Nothobranchius furzeri: one gene and its partners. The protein of the gene in region 2 interacts with the protein of the main gene of each other region in a pairwise test. Links are inferred from orthologs where the notes say so. Each region holds a gene or a part of one and is shown on either strand. Other genes may lie near its edges.

What was found. The genes of interacting proteins can lie anywhere in the genome.
Region 1: the proteins of siah1 (region 2) and numb interact in a two-hybrid assay, tested with the Homo sapiens proteins (2 studies listed by BioGRID and IntAct). The link is inferred for Nothobranchius furzeri from reciprocal best matches to the Homo sapiens genes SIAH1 and NUMB.
Region 3: the proteins of siah1 (region 2) and rad51ap1 interact in binary tests that used the Homo sapiens proteins (3 or more experiments, as listed by UniProt). The two-hybrid records come from large-scale screens. The link is inferred for Nothobranchius furzeri from reciprocal best matches to the Homo sapiens genes SIAH1 and RAD51AP1.
Region 4: the proteins of siah1 (region 2) and ctsk interact in a two-hybrid assay, tested with the Homo sapiens proteins (2 studies listed by BioGRID). The link is inferred for Nothobranchius furzeri from reciprocal best matches to the Homo sapiens genes SIAH1 and CTSK.

What each region holds. Positions count from the first base shown.
Region 1 is NC_091758.1:16,891,898-16,895,506, reverse strand, and holds part of numb (protein numb homolog), read left to right. Parts: intron 1-1,021; 5' UTR 1,022-1,032; coding exon 1,033-1,158; intron 1,159-3,609. UniProt on the Homo sapiens protein: Regulates clathrin-mediated receptor endocytosis. Plays a role in the process of neurogenesis.
Region 2 is NC_091744.1:81,660,889-81,663,574, forward strand, and holds the end of siah1 (E3 ubiquitin-protein ligase Siah1), read left to right. Parts: intron 1-251; coding exon 252-433; intron 434-823; coding exon 824-1,120; intron 1,121-1,352; coding exon 1,353-1,724; 3' UTR 1,725-2,142; downstream 2,143-2,686. UniProt on the Homo sapiens protein: E3 ubiquitin-protein ligase that mediates ubiquitination and subsequent proteasomal degradation of target proteins.
Region 3 is NC_091741.1:43,141,162-43,143,771, forward strand, and holds part of rad51ap1 (RAD51-associated protein 1), read left to right. Parts: intron 1-462; coding exon 463-566; intron 567-650; coding exon 651-737; intron 738-1,588; coding exon 1,589-1,717; intron 1,718-2,610. UniProt on the Homo sapiens protein: Structure-specific DNA-binding protein involved in DNA repair by promoting RAD51-mediated homologous recombination.
Region 4 is NC_091745.1:65,969,815-65,973,423, reverse strand, and holds part of ctsk (cathepsin K), read left to right. Parts: intron 1-3,172; coding exon 3,173-3,281; intron 3,282-3,371; coding exon 3,372-3,471; 3' UTR 3,472-3,609. UniProt on the Homo sapiens protein: Thiol protease involved in osteoclastic bone resorption and may participate partially in the disorder of bone remodeling. Displays potent endoprotease activity against fibrinogen at acid pH. May play an important role in extracellular matrix degradation.

The sequences.
Region 1 (3,609 bases), on a different chromosome or scaffold from region 2:
TTTTTCACCTCGGTGAGCCAAAGCAACAACAGGGCTTAGCTGCATAAGTACAGCTTTTTGTTTATTAGCAATCACATATGGCCTCTGTTCATCAGAAAAAAAATGACACATTTATGATTGTAACTTCATTTATAACTGCGTTATCAAATCTGCAAAAAGTTGGCTTTTAAATACAATCACAGAACTCTCAACCCTTCTGTTGGCTATCATCTCTTGGCCATGCCCCCTCACAAGGGAACCTGCGTCGCCACGGTAAACGAGATGGCACTAAACACCAGTCACAGTTTTCTAGATCCAAACATCTTTTGTTGTCCGTGACTTCAAGTGGTGTTTTTCTTTTTGGGACTCTGGTAGTTTGTCCTAAAGTTGAAGTGGTAGCAGCCAACTGTTTCTCCTTCTCTGATATTATTGAGCAGAGAGCCTCTGTTACGGCTGCCAGCCTGACCTCTCACACCAGTGGTGTTCTGTTGCTAAATGTGTGTGTGAGTGTGTATATGAATGGAGGTCCCAGGACAATGCAGCGGTTCAGTTAGATCGACAACCGGATGGTCCAGTTGGTTTCAGACTGAGCTGTGCTATTGGCTGAGGTTTTTGGACAAATGTGAGAGAACCAGTGAATTAATTTGTTTATTTATTTTTTATTTCCACCATATAGTTATAGCTATACTATGTTGTTGAGAGGGATAAAATCCTTGTTTTAAGTTGGCGTGTTTTGTAGTTTTGGCATTGTAGCTTTAATAGTGAATTTAAAAAAACAGGCAAATGGCCGCGTGTAAGAAAATATTTATTTCGTAAACTTGTTCTAACTATTGAACCAAAACAAAATAGCTTTGATGGTTAAACTATTCGTTTTTGATGTAATAATCATTTTGTCCAGTATGTTTTATTAAAATGCTTCCTGCATGTTAAAAAGGTTGTTCAATAATCACACAGCTCCAGGCTCGATGGGTAAAAGAGAGATCTGCCTTCCTTATTTAACTGCTGACAGTCCAGTCTAAACTGCCTCTTTCTGTCCTCACAGGGAGCTCAGCGATGAATAAGCTAAGGCAGAGCTTTCGGCGAAAGAAAGACGTCTATGTGCCGGAATCGAGTCGGCCGCACCAGTGGCAGACGGACGAGGAGGCGGTGCGCAGTGGAAAATGCAGCTTTGCAGTCAAGGTGACTCTACACACGCTCACTCATTTACAAACAAAAACCCAGTTTGAAAGATGCCGGCTTTCACACACATGCTGATTGCAGGGCTGACCAGAGAGGGACACCGTCCTGGTGTCTGTCTCTCCAAGGACACTGCTGTGACTAATCAGAAGCATTCAGGCTGTAAGCACTAGTGAGGGTTAGGGTTCTTTTGAACCCGCGGGTACCGCAGATTTGATAACGTCTGATCCGCACCAAACCGCCCCGCTTCACTAGGTCTATTTTTACAACCCGCGCCGCCCCGACCCGCCTCATTAAAAACACGTTATTGATTGAATGTGCTTTTATTCAGACAAAGGTGCGTTAAATAGCCCCCAAACTGGCACTGGAAAATGGTAGTAACATTTACATTTTTAAAGGCTAAAATAAAAAATTAAAATAAAAAATAAAAATAGGCAGATAAAGAAAGTTTAAAATTAAATGAAACAAGGGTTTTTTGTTTGTTTCCCTACTAATAGTGCAATAACCAAAACAAAAACAGCACCTAGAGCCCATGCTTGGGCAAACAAAATAATAAAACATTTTACAACTTTTATCAAACATTTTGAAAGCAAACAAACGCATTACCTGTTATGTTCTTGTTTTGTCCAGCCAATGCTGCTGCTGTTGTCTGTGCTTATTACCTTGCTGAATCTTTCCCAAACCAGCGATTTAGCAGTTTGTCCCTCCTTTCTTTTAAGAATGTAAACTCCCGAACAAATTTTATCCAAAATATCGTCCTCCATTGTTTTGTTGATAAGTCTGCCTGCCACCTGCTTGCAACTTTGGCTCACTTCACTGGCACTTTCTGTACGTGCCTACGTCATGGGGTTGGAGTTATGTTTTAAAACGTGACCGTGTGTAAACAACTGTCTTAAATTGTGTTTTACAAAATTAAGCTTTGATTAATGTCTTTATCCTCAGTGTGCACATATATTTATATATATATATATATATATATATATATATGTGTGTGTGTGTGTGTGCGTGTATATATATGTGTGTGTATATATGTATATGTATGTATATATATGTATGTATATATGTATATATATATTTTTTATATGTATGTATGTATATGTATGTATATGTATATGTATATGTATATATATATATATGTATACATATATATATATGTATATATATGTATATACATATATATATATATATATATATATATATATATATGTATATACATATATATATATATATATGTATATGTATATACATATATATATATATATATATATATATACAGGGAGTGCAGAATTATTAAGCCAATGAGTATTTTGTCCACATCATCCTGTTCATGCATGTTGTCTTACTCCAAGCTGTATAGGCTCGAAAGCCGACTACCAATTAAGTTTATTAGGTGATGTGCATCTCTGTAATGAGAAGGGGTGTGGTCTAATGACATCAACACCCTATATCAGGTGTGCATAATAATTAGGCAACTTCCTTTCCTTTGGCAAAATGGGTCAAAAGAAGGACTTGACAGGGTCAGAAAAGTCAAAAATAGTGAGATATCTTGCAGAGGGATGCAGCAGTCTTAAAACTGCAAAGCTTCTGAAGCGTGATCATCGAACAATCAAGCGTTTCATTCAAAATAGTCAACAGGGTCGCAAGAAGCGTGTGGAAAAACCAAGGTGCAAAATAACTGCCCATGAACTGAGATAAGTCAAGCGTGCAGCTGCCAAGATACCACTTGTCTCCAGTTTGGCCATATTTCAGAGCTGCAACATCACTGGAGTGCCCAAAAGCACAAGGTGTGCCATACTCCGAGACATGGCCAAGGTAAGAAAGGCTGAAAGACGACCACCACTGAACAAGACACACAAGCTGAAACGTCAAGACTGGGCCAAGAAATATCTGAAGACTGATTTTTCTAAGGTTTTCTGGACTGATGAAATGAGAGTGAGTCTTGATGGGCCAGATGGATGGGCCCGTGGCTGGATTGGTAAAGGGCAGAGAGCTCCAGTCCCACTCAGACGCCAGCAAGGTGGAGGTGGAGTACTGGTTTGGGCTGGTATCAGCAAAGATGAGCTTGTGGGGCCTTTTCGGGTTGAAGATGGAGTCGAGCTCAGCTCCCAGTCCTACTGCCAGTTTCTGGAAGACACTTTCTTCAAGCAGTGGTACAGGAAGAAGTCTGCATCCTTCAAGAAAACCATGATTTTCATGCAGGACAATGCTCCATCACACGCGTCCAAGTACTTGGCTGGCAAGTAAGGGTATAAAAGAAGAAAAACTAATGACATGGCCTCCTTGTTCACCTGATCTGAACCCCATTGAGAACCTGTGGTCCATCATCAAATGTGGGATTTACAAAGAGGGAAAACAGTACACCTCTCTGAACAATGTCTGGGAGGCTGTGGTTGCTGCTGCACGCAATGTTGAAGGTGAACAGATCAAAACACTGACAGAATCCATGGATGGCAG
Region 2 (2,686 bases):
CACCGCTATTGGCTAAGAGGTATGCTATGATGTAAACTGGTACATTATGATGTCACAATTCTGTCGTGAGCCTGTGTGTGTGTGTATTTGTTAGCAGCTCTGCCTTCTCAGTCTGCTAGGCAACAGCATTTGTTGCATTTTTCAAACATGAAGTGGGAGTGGAGTTAGACTCTGGTAGGGGTTGACTTGCTCTTTAAATAGAAGTGTAAAGGTGTTTATCGCTGTAACTCCACTCTTGTGTCTTTTATCAGAAATGAGTCGCCAGACCGCCACCGCGCTGCCCACAGGAACTTCTAAGTGCCCTCCCTCTCAGCGCGTGCCCACCCTGTCGGGCACCACGGCCTCCAACAGTGACCTGGCCAGCCTGTTCGAGTGTCCGGTCTGCTTTGACTATGTCCTGCCCCCCATCCTGCAGTGCCAGTCGGGACACCTGGTACGTATCGCCCCCATCAACCAAACCCCACAGAGCACCGACGTTCCTGGGTCATGTAGCCCTGTGACCCGGCCCAGATGAGACCAGAACCAAACCACAGAAAGTTAAAATGGCTTATTTTTTTAACCAAGATCTGATGGTTTGGTTAGAATCAGCTGCGATATGGCAAGCTGTTATGTCATATGTTTGAAGATTTTTCTTTAAAAATATCTGTTAAAACTCAATTTTTTCCAAATGTACCAAAGGATGCCTCAGCATTAATTAGTGCTCTCATCGGGATGAACTCACACTTGGTCTGGATGTTTTAACTTTAACCCATCCAGTCATTCGTGGTGGTGCGCACACACACTTTTTTTTTAGTGTAACTACTGAGCTCATATTTCGTCTCAGGTGTGCTCCAACTGCCGGCCCAAGCTCACCTGCTGCCCCACCTGCAGGGGCCCCCTGGGCTCCATCAGGAACCTGGCCATGGAGAAGGTAGCCAACTCGGTGCTCTTCCCCTGTAAGTACGCCTCATCAGGCTGTGAAGTCACTCTGCCTCACACCGACAAGACCGAGCACGAGGAGCTGTGCGAGTTCCGACCATATTCCTGCCCGTGTCCCGGAGCCTCCTGCAAGTGGCAGGGATCCCTGGATGCAGTCATGCCACACCTGATGCACCAGCACAAGTCCATCACCACACTGCAGGTCAGAGGTCACGCTTGGTGCTTTGAGCTCGTTTCCTGGTGGATTTTATTAATGAAGTCAAATCTCAAGATTTTACAAATAAATTTTACTTTTCAGGACCAAATTTTTCAGTCTTTTGTTCTAACGGCTGTAGTGATTTGTAGCAGTGCCCTCTGCTGGACACGGGTCACACAGTAATGAGTCTTAGGGTTCTGCTTCTGCCTGCTCACCCTCTGACCTGTGTGTGCATCAGGGTGAGGACATCGTGTTCCTGGCGACAGACATCAACCTGCCCGGCGCCGTGGACTGGGTCATGATGCAGTCCTGCTTCGGGTTCCACTTTATGCTGGTGCTGGAGAAGCAGGAGAAGTATGACGGCCACCAGCAGTTCTTCGCCATCGTGCAGCTCATCGGGACTCGCAAGCAGGCAGAAAACTTCGCATACCGGCTGGAGCTCAACGGTCACCGGCGTCGGCTCACCTGGGAGGCGACTCCACGCTCCATCCACGAGGGCATCGCCACGGCAATCATGAACAGCGACTGCTTGGTGTTTGACACATCGATCGCACAGCTGTTCGCCGAGAATGGCAACCTGGGCATCAACGTCACCATCTCCATGTGCTGAGGACTCCCAGGTGACGAGCATCAGATTGTAAAGGAGGGTGGGGGGTGCATTTTTTTAGGGGTCACGTCCATGCTGACCTCACAGCCCCACCCCTCCCCTCTGTGACATGGATCTGGACTGTGATTGGGCAGCAGTGAGGGCCCAGGCTGTTATGTATGGATGAGTGAAGCGCATTAGGACATACCTGTGTAGTGAAGACTTGTCAGACTCACCTGTGATTGGCTGGATTGTTTAGTTCTAGTCCCGTTTTGTTTCTCCTCATCCTGAAGGTCATGTCAAGGACAATACAACATGGACTCCTGGTCAGTGCTAACAAGCTAGCTTGCCAGCTAGCTTCTTTTCAAAAATCCAAATGTAGACGAACGGAGATCTGAGTGGCTGCTATCAACTCACTCATCCATAAAACCTCTTCCCAAACGCTCGTTTCACCTGTGACTGATAACGATTTAGACGTTGGACCGGACGGCTGCAGCACCAGAACCCTGGATCTGTACTAAGTGTTCATAAAACAGGCTCACCTGGTCTGACCCGGCCAGCTCAAAGGTCAAACTGGGACAGCCGTAGTTGATAGTTAATCGACTCCGAACGGGAAGCTCTGAGCCGGATCTTTACCTGCTCTATTTTTTGGACTAGCTGTAGTGTGCCGTCACACACGACAACACACCTGTCCTCTGCACCACACACACTGAGCAGGTGAGACCTGACCGAGGAACAGAAGTTTTTCAGAACTAGGAAGAGATTAAAAAACACTACATTTCACTTTAGTTTGGAGGTTTTATTTCATGCGTCTGTTTCTAAACTGTTTTAGTTGTTTTTGTATGAAAGGAGCATGAAAAAGATGGATCTGTGGTTCAGACCTGCTAGACTGTCGTTTCTCCTCCATCTGAACGCCCAACCTGGATTAGAGACAGTTCTTCTGTTCAAATGTTTATTATTACTGAATAGAGATATAAAGATCATTT
Region 3 (2,610 bases), on a different chromosome or scaffold from region 2:
GCAACCCGCTCTTCCACCTGAGCTACTGCTGCCCAAGTGATTCATTTTTTTATTAACCAATTTTATTTTATTTTTGAGTAAGAAAGAATTTTTTTTTATCAATCTGTGGAGATTTGAGAGTAATTCTGTGGATGTTTGTTTATTTTGCCTTTAAATAAACATCAAATTTCTCACCTGTTTCAGTGAGCTAACCGGGTGAAGTGGGGAGGGAGTTGTTAAATAGCTCCGAGAAGTTTCTCTGTTCTCTGAAAAGCTTTATTTAGAGTTAAAACGTAGTGGACTTGTGTGGTGGAGTCTGTGGATGTTTGGATGAAGGATCACTAGCTATGTGGCATTATTTCACTTTTAGTCACAAATGAAACCACAAGCTGTTCCAGAGTTCTCCATCATGCTTTAGATGCATTTTTTTGCAGAGAATTCAAACAAAGGTGTAAACTTTTCTACGTGAACTCATTTTGTCAGAAAACCACTGGATGAAAAGTTGTACGAGAGAGATCTAGAAGCAGCCATCACACTTTCCTTACTCAACAACGCAGAGGGAATAAAGGAGGCTCCCACCAGCAAAGGTGTGCTTTGTCAAGTGATTTTATGTTCATAAACGGTTGCAGATAGATTTTTAAAATATTTTTTCTGCAAATTCTAACCTGCAGATCTCCGAGCTAAAAACCCCATAGATGAAAACACCGATCCATTTTCTCTTCCTATCTCCAACTGCAGTGTGGACGGAGCTGTTATGGGTAAATCCTCCTTTTCTGTTGCCTGTATACACATCTAAGCAGTGTAAAAATTATGGTTATGTTTATGTATTTAGCAGACGCTTTTGTCCAAAGCGACTTACAAGTGATAATCGGCATGTTGCCCTTGAGGCTAACAACAACAACAACTTGACATCAATCATGGAGAGGAGGGAACAAGGAGTGGACAGTAGAGAGGGGGACGGGTGCAGGGAGGGTGCTAGTTAAGAAGATGCTCTCTGAAGAGCAGGGTCTTCAGGAGTTTCTTGAAAATTGAAAAGGAAGCCCCTGTTCTGGTAGAGCTTGGAAGGTCATTCCACATTTGTGGAACGATGCATGAGAACAGTCTGGATTGTCCTGAGCGTGGTGTGGGCTCTGCTAGCCGACGATCCTGTGATGACCGGAGCAGCCGGGCAGAGACGTAAGCCTTTGCAAGATGATTCAGGTAGATGGGAGCCGTACCGTCTCGGACTTTGTATGCTAGTGTTAGCAATTTGAATTTGAAGCCTGCTGCTAGCGGTAGCCAGTGGAGCTCAATGAACAGAGGGGTGACGTGTGCTCTTTTTGGCTGATTGAAGACCAGACGCGCCGCTGCATTCTGGACCATTTGAAGAGGTCTCACAGTACAGCCTGGAAGACCAGTTAGAAGGGCATTGCAGTAATCGAGGCGGGAGAGGACAGTAGATTGCACCAGGAGCTGGGTGGCATGTTGTGTTATGTTTGGGTAAATTGCCTAAAATTGTGAAACTGCCAGGCTTTTGACGTTCCCAGTGCAGTCAAAAGAGCATGCCTAAGAATTGTTTTGTTTTTTAGCTTGTGGATCTTCTTGATAATTTGATAACTTTTATCTTCAGGCTTGAACAAAATCACTTCAGAGAAAGGATCACCGGTTTCTGCCAAGCGGAGAAAAGCTTCCGCCAAAGCTGCTGAGGTACAAAGAAAAACGAATGAAGATGAGGACTATCAACCCAAACTGACCCCAGGTAATGCTTTTATTTATATACAGTAAATATCAATTCATTAAAAAATGTTGAGTTTGTGCTGTCTAATGTTGTTCCCACTAAAATCTAAACCATCAGTGCCACCATAAAGGTGGAATAAGATGTTTTTCATGATTTTCTCGCCGGTTGCTGAATGTGCAAAATTCAGTGGTCCCCCCCATTTTTCAGGCTTCTCAACAAGGGCCTTAAAGGAGGGGGGGCTGCCTTATTTCCCAAAGTAGTGCACCAACGTCACCGTATGAAAACTTAGAATGCCAGCTAATATAGTGTGGTGCTTTTTATTAGGGATGTCCCGATCCGATCACATGCTCGGAAATCGGCCCCGATCACGTGGTTTCAGACTCGATCGGGACTCGGACTTTACTTCCCAATCCAAGCCCCGATCCGGACTCGGATACTGGGTTCAAATTACAGGAAAGCAACTTGGTTCTCCTTAAAGGTTGTCAGGCTCCCCTGATGCCCTTAACTTCCACACCCAGAAGGAGCACAACAAAGATCCAGTTTCTACCTTTATTATATTATATTATATTATGTTATGTTATGTTATGTTATATTATATTATATTATATTATATTATACTATATTATATTATATGGACTCAGCGTCGCGGGGATTCTTTTGAGCAGAGCAGCAGGCAGACCGCTGATTATTCATGAACTCCAGCTGCGTTCTGCACACAGCCACAGTAACATTTACTAAGTTTTTAAGTGGCGTCACCAAAAATATATAATTAACACACAGTCATTCGTGTCCGTTCATTTTCTCTCTGGTAAGTTCTGTCTGTATTTGAGCATGACGTGTGGACGCGCTCGCGCTGCAGCGCTCGTCACTGGTGCAGCCGGCAGCGCAGTGCACACTCCGCTTTTTTTGCGGTC
Region 4 (3,609 bases), on a different chromosome or scaffold from region 2:
AAAGGCCTGAGATTATTAAATCTCGACGTGCCATGTATTGAGCAAAGGGCTCTGCTGGATTTAAAATGCTGGCCGCGGTGTTACAGTTATGCTGAGGTATAAATGGTGAGCCGCATGGGTTGAGAGAGGTATTTTGTTTCTCCACTTTAGGTTTTGTTTCACCTTTCAGCTGGCTGGGGTAATTTAGAGCAGCGATATTAGCTTTGGTAAGCCTCATTTCAGAGTTGATGGGTTGTGGCTCTAAATTGCCTTCTTCAGATGGATGCCACGTTACAAATGTGTTGGGTGAACTTGCTCTGGGACAAGCAGTGGTTGGTAATTGTCGTGGACTGGGAGATAGCTTGGTGTCCATTTGAGATCGTACATATTCATTCGTACGTTCTAATTTTACACTTTCTGATGGAGATTTTCTACTCTCGGGTTCTTCTTGTATTGCTTCAGCTTCCTCTAGCACTTCTGCTTCAGCTAGAGCAGCATCAGCTTCCCTCTGTAATGTTAACACTTCTAATTCCACATCTATTTTTGCCTTTTCCAGTTCGCTTTGAGCTTTTTCAACTTTTAACTGTGCTTCTTTTGTTGCGTAGCATGCTCTCACCTTCGCAGCCTCTGCTTTAGCTCGAGCCTGGGCAGCGCTTACTGCTGATCCAGATGAGCGGCTCGTCCTCAAACTGCGTGCAGACTTGTTACTCGATGCCATTTTGACCGTGATGAATCGTCAGTAGTCGCCTTTTCACTGTAGTGTTTTCAACAGGAATGTTGGTGACACCGAGTTAAACCACAAATGAAGACCCTGGAGTTTAGCTGCAGCTTGTTTAATTGTCTCATGAACATGTGGTGAAAACTGAAATGACAGAAAATAGACTCCATCTTAACAGATAGAAGCATGTTTACATCCAAAAAGTGCATTACTCTCACTGAAACATTCATGTTAGCAAAATATACACTAATATCCAAAGCTATTAGTATAAACTGTCATATAAAGCAACTTACGGCGTTCCAGCCTGATAATTCAGAGAAGATGGCATCTGATTACATCTCCACGCTGCCTTCTGCACAGTGTTGCCAGATCCAAAATCCCACAATATCGTACAGAGAGGCTTAAATTATCGTTTTTCAGTACAAATTATCGTACATTATAAATTTGATAATAACGTTCTATAAACAACTTCTCACTCCAATATAATATAACAAAGAAGGTGTTTTATATTGCCCTGTTTAAATAAACATCTTTAAAACCAGTAATATAATGCTTATAAACGTGCAGAGTGTGTCAGCACCACTCCGACCTCCACGCATTGACACAATATGCACATTTGCGCAGTCCTATTTATTTCATTTCTACATAGGTTTTTCTTTTAAGATTAGAAGCCATTGTCTCGTTGCTCTGTCATCCTAGATTAGACTTAACTCGGCGTGCTCGCGGGCAAACAGCAAAAACTGGCGGGACACTGCCACATTATATAACCTTACAGTTTCTCACGAGAGTAGGCCCTATCGATGTGATTGGGCTATTTATAGTACAGACCCAGAGTCAGTTTTTGTAATAGACACAATAGCATAAACCTGTAAGCACTGAGGCGAAATCTGACTTCAGAACAGTTTAAAATTATGTAACTGACTTGGGAAAGCTACAGCAAAAGACGGTGTTACTAGTTGCAATGTGAAATTATCGTACATTTGAGGATTTTTTAAACTATTGATCGTACATTGTAGAGCCCAAAATTATGGTACGAATACGATAATTATCGTACATCTGGCAACACTGCTTCTGCATGAAGCGCCTGTTTCTCCGCGAAAACAGTGTTTGACCAAAACCGGAAGTGCACCGCCAGAACAGGAAGCACATTTTAGCGATATTTTCTTTTTAACTAAAACACATATAAAGCATGAATTATTCATTTTAACAACACATATCAATGTTTTTAATGACAAATCCTTTTAGAATTATTTATTTCAAACTTATGAACCTATTTATTCAGAGAAAGCCTTAAGGGCAACACAACAACATTTAAATGATCACTTCTAATTAAACTAAATAATGACGAATAAAAGACAACAACAAAAATTGACAGAAACGAAAATCCTATCGTTAAAACAGTAATGATGGTAGAATGTAGACAAAAAGAAACAATCACCGTATGGAAAGACGAGACTAGATGAGCTGGCCATGTTTGAACAAGCTTCCGCTACCAGTTATACATCTTAAAGGACAAAATGTCCACAGCTTGGTTTTAAACGTGTTACGGTGGTAGCAGCTAGCAGGGGCGGGAGAGGAGCTTAACCAAACTGGTGGTTTTAACATTTTCATGGCATTAGTACAGCCAATGATATCAGCGTCTGGTGATCTAGTGGTGTTTCTGTGAAGAAGAAAAAACATTCAGGTGGTCCAGAAAATTGTTCAGGCAGCCCACCTGCCTGGGAAAACTCTGATAAACACACCCGAAAACAATCTTTACCTTTAGTTTACCTCCTCACATTATTAGAGTAACACATATTAGTGTTTTAATGGTTTGATGTCATTTCATGTAAGGTTTACAAATATTACTGCACATTATACAGATTTGTTTAATTTATTAATATTGGGAGACACAATTTCTAATTGTCAGTGTTCACTTTGGTATTTAGCAATAATTATGGTCACTTAGACAACTAGATGTATAGTTTTATTGATGCAAAATGTGAAATGTGAATTTTTCTTTACAGTTTAAAGTAGTTAAGACTTCCTTTACAGAAAATTGTTGCATCAGATGACAAATACATACATTTTAGTCAAATAAAATAAGACTAAAATAAAACACATTGGACGACTAAATTGTGACAAAATTTTAAAACTATTTAAAACTAAATTCTAATTTCTTGTCAAAGTTGGCATTGCCTCTAACCGGGCAACGGAGCTAAAACATTAATTTTTTAATAGCAAAATTAATTAAATAAATTAACATAAGACATTTTGCTTCCATTATAGCACAGTGCAGGGTACGACTAGGTTTTAATGATTTCTTAAAACTTGTATACATAACTCCTGAAAAGGGGAAGACTCCAGATTGCAGGTTTGATATGACCATCTTTAGATGTTGAAATTGTCAACACAGCGTAGATAATATCTCCTTCCTCTATGGATTGTTTCACATCTCAAGTTTACATATTTGTACTTTCTCTGTCATGTGACCAGGCATTTATTACGACACCAACTGTAACAAGGAGGACATCAATCACGCCGTGCTGGCCGTTGGCTTTGGTGTGAGCCCCAAGGGGAAGAAGTACTGGATCGTCAAGAACAGGTGGGGCGTCACGGAAAATAAATAGTTAATTTCAAGTGTCGATTTGAGTCCAGGTGACGTTCAGCCTCTCTTTTGTTTTCATCCCGACAGCTGGGGTGAAGAGTGGGGCAACAACGGCTACATCTTGATGGCACGCAACCGTGGCAACCTCTGTGGCATCGCTAACCTGGCCAGCTACCCCATCATGTGATCAGATGAGTGTGGCGGAAGTGGAGACTTAGACTACTACGCACCACAATGATGAAACAACCATCAGTATTTTCTGCAACATCAACTTAAAAACATAATCTGGGTTTTTGTACGTCTGGAGATCGATGCTGGTTTATGT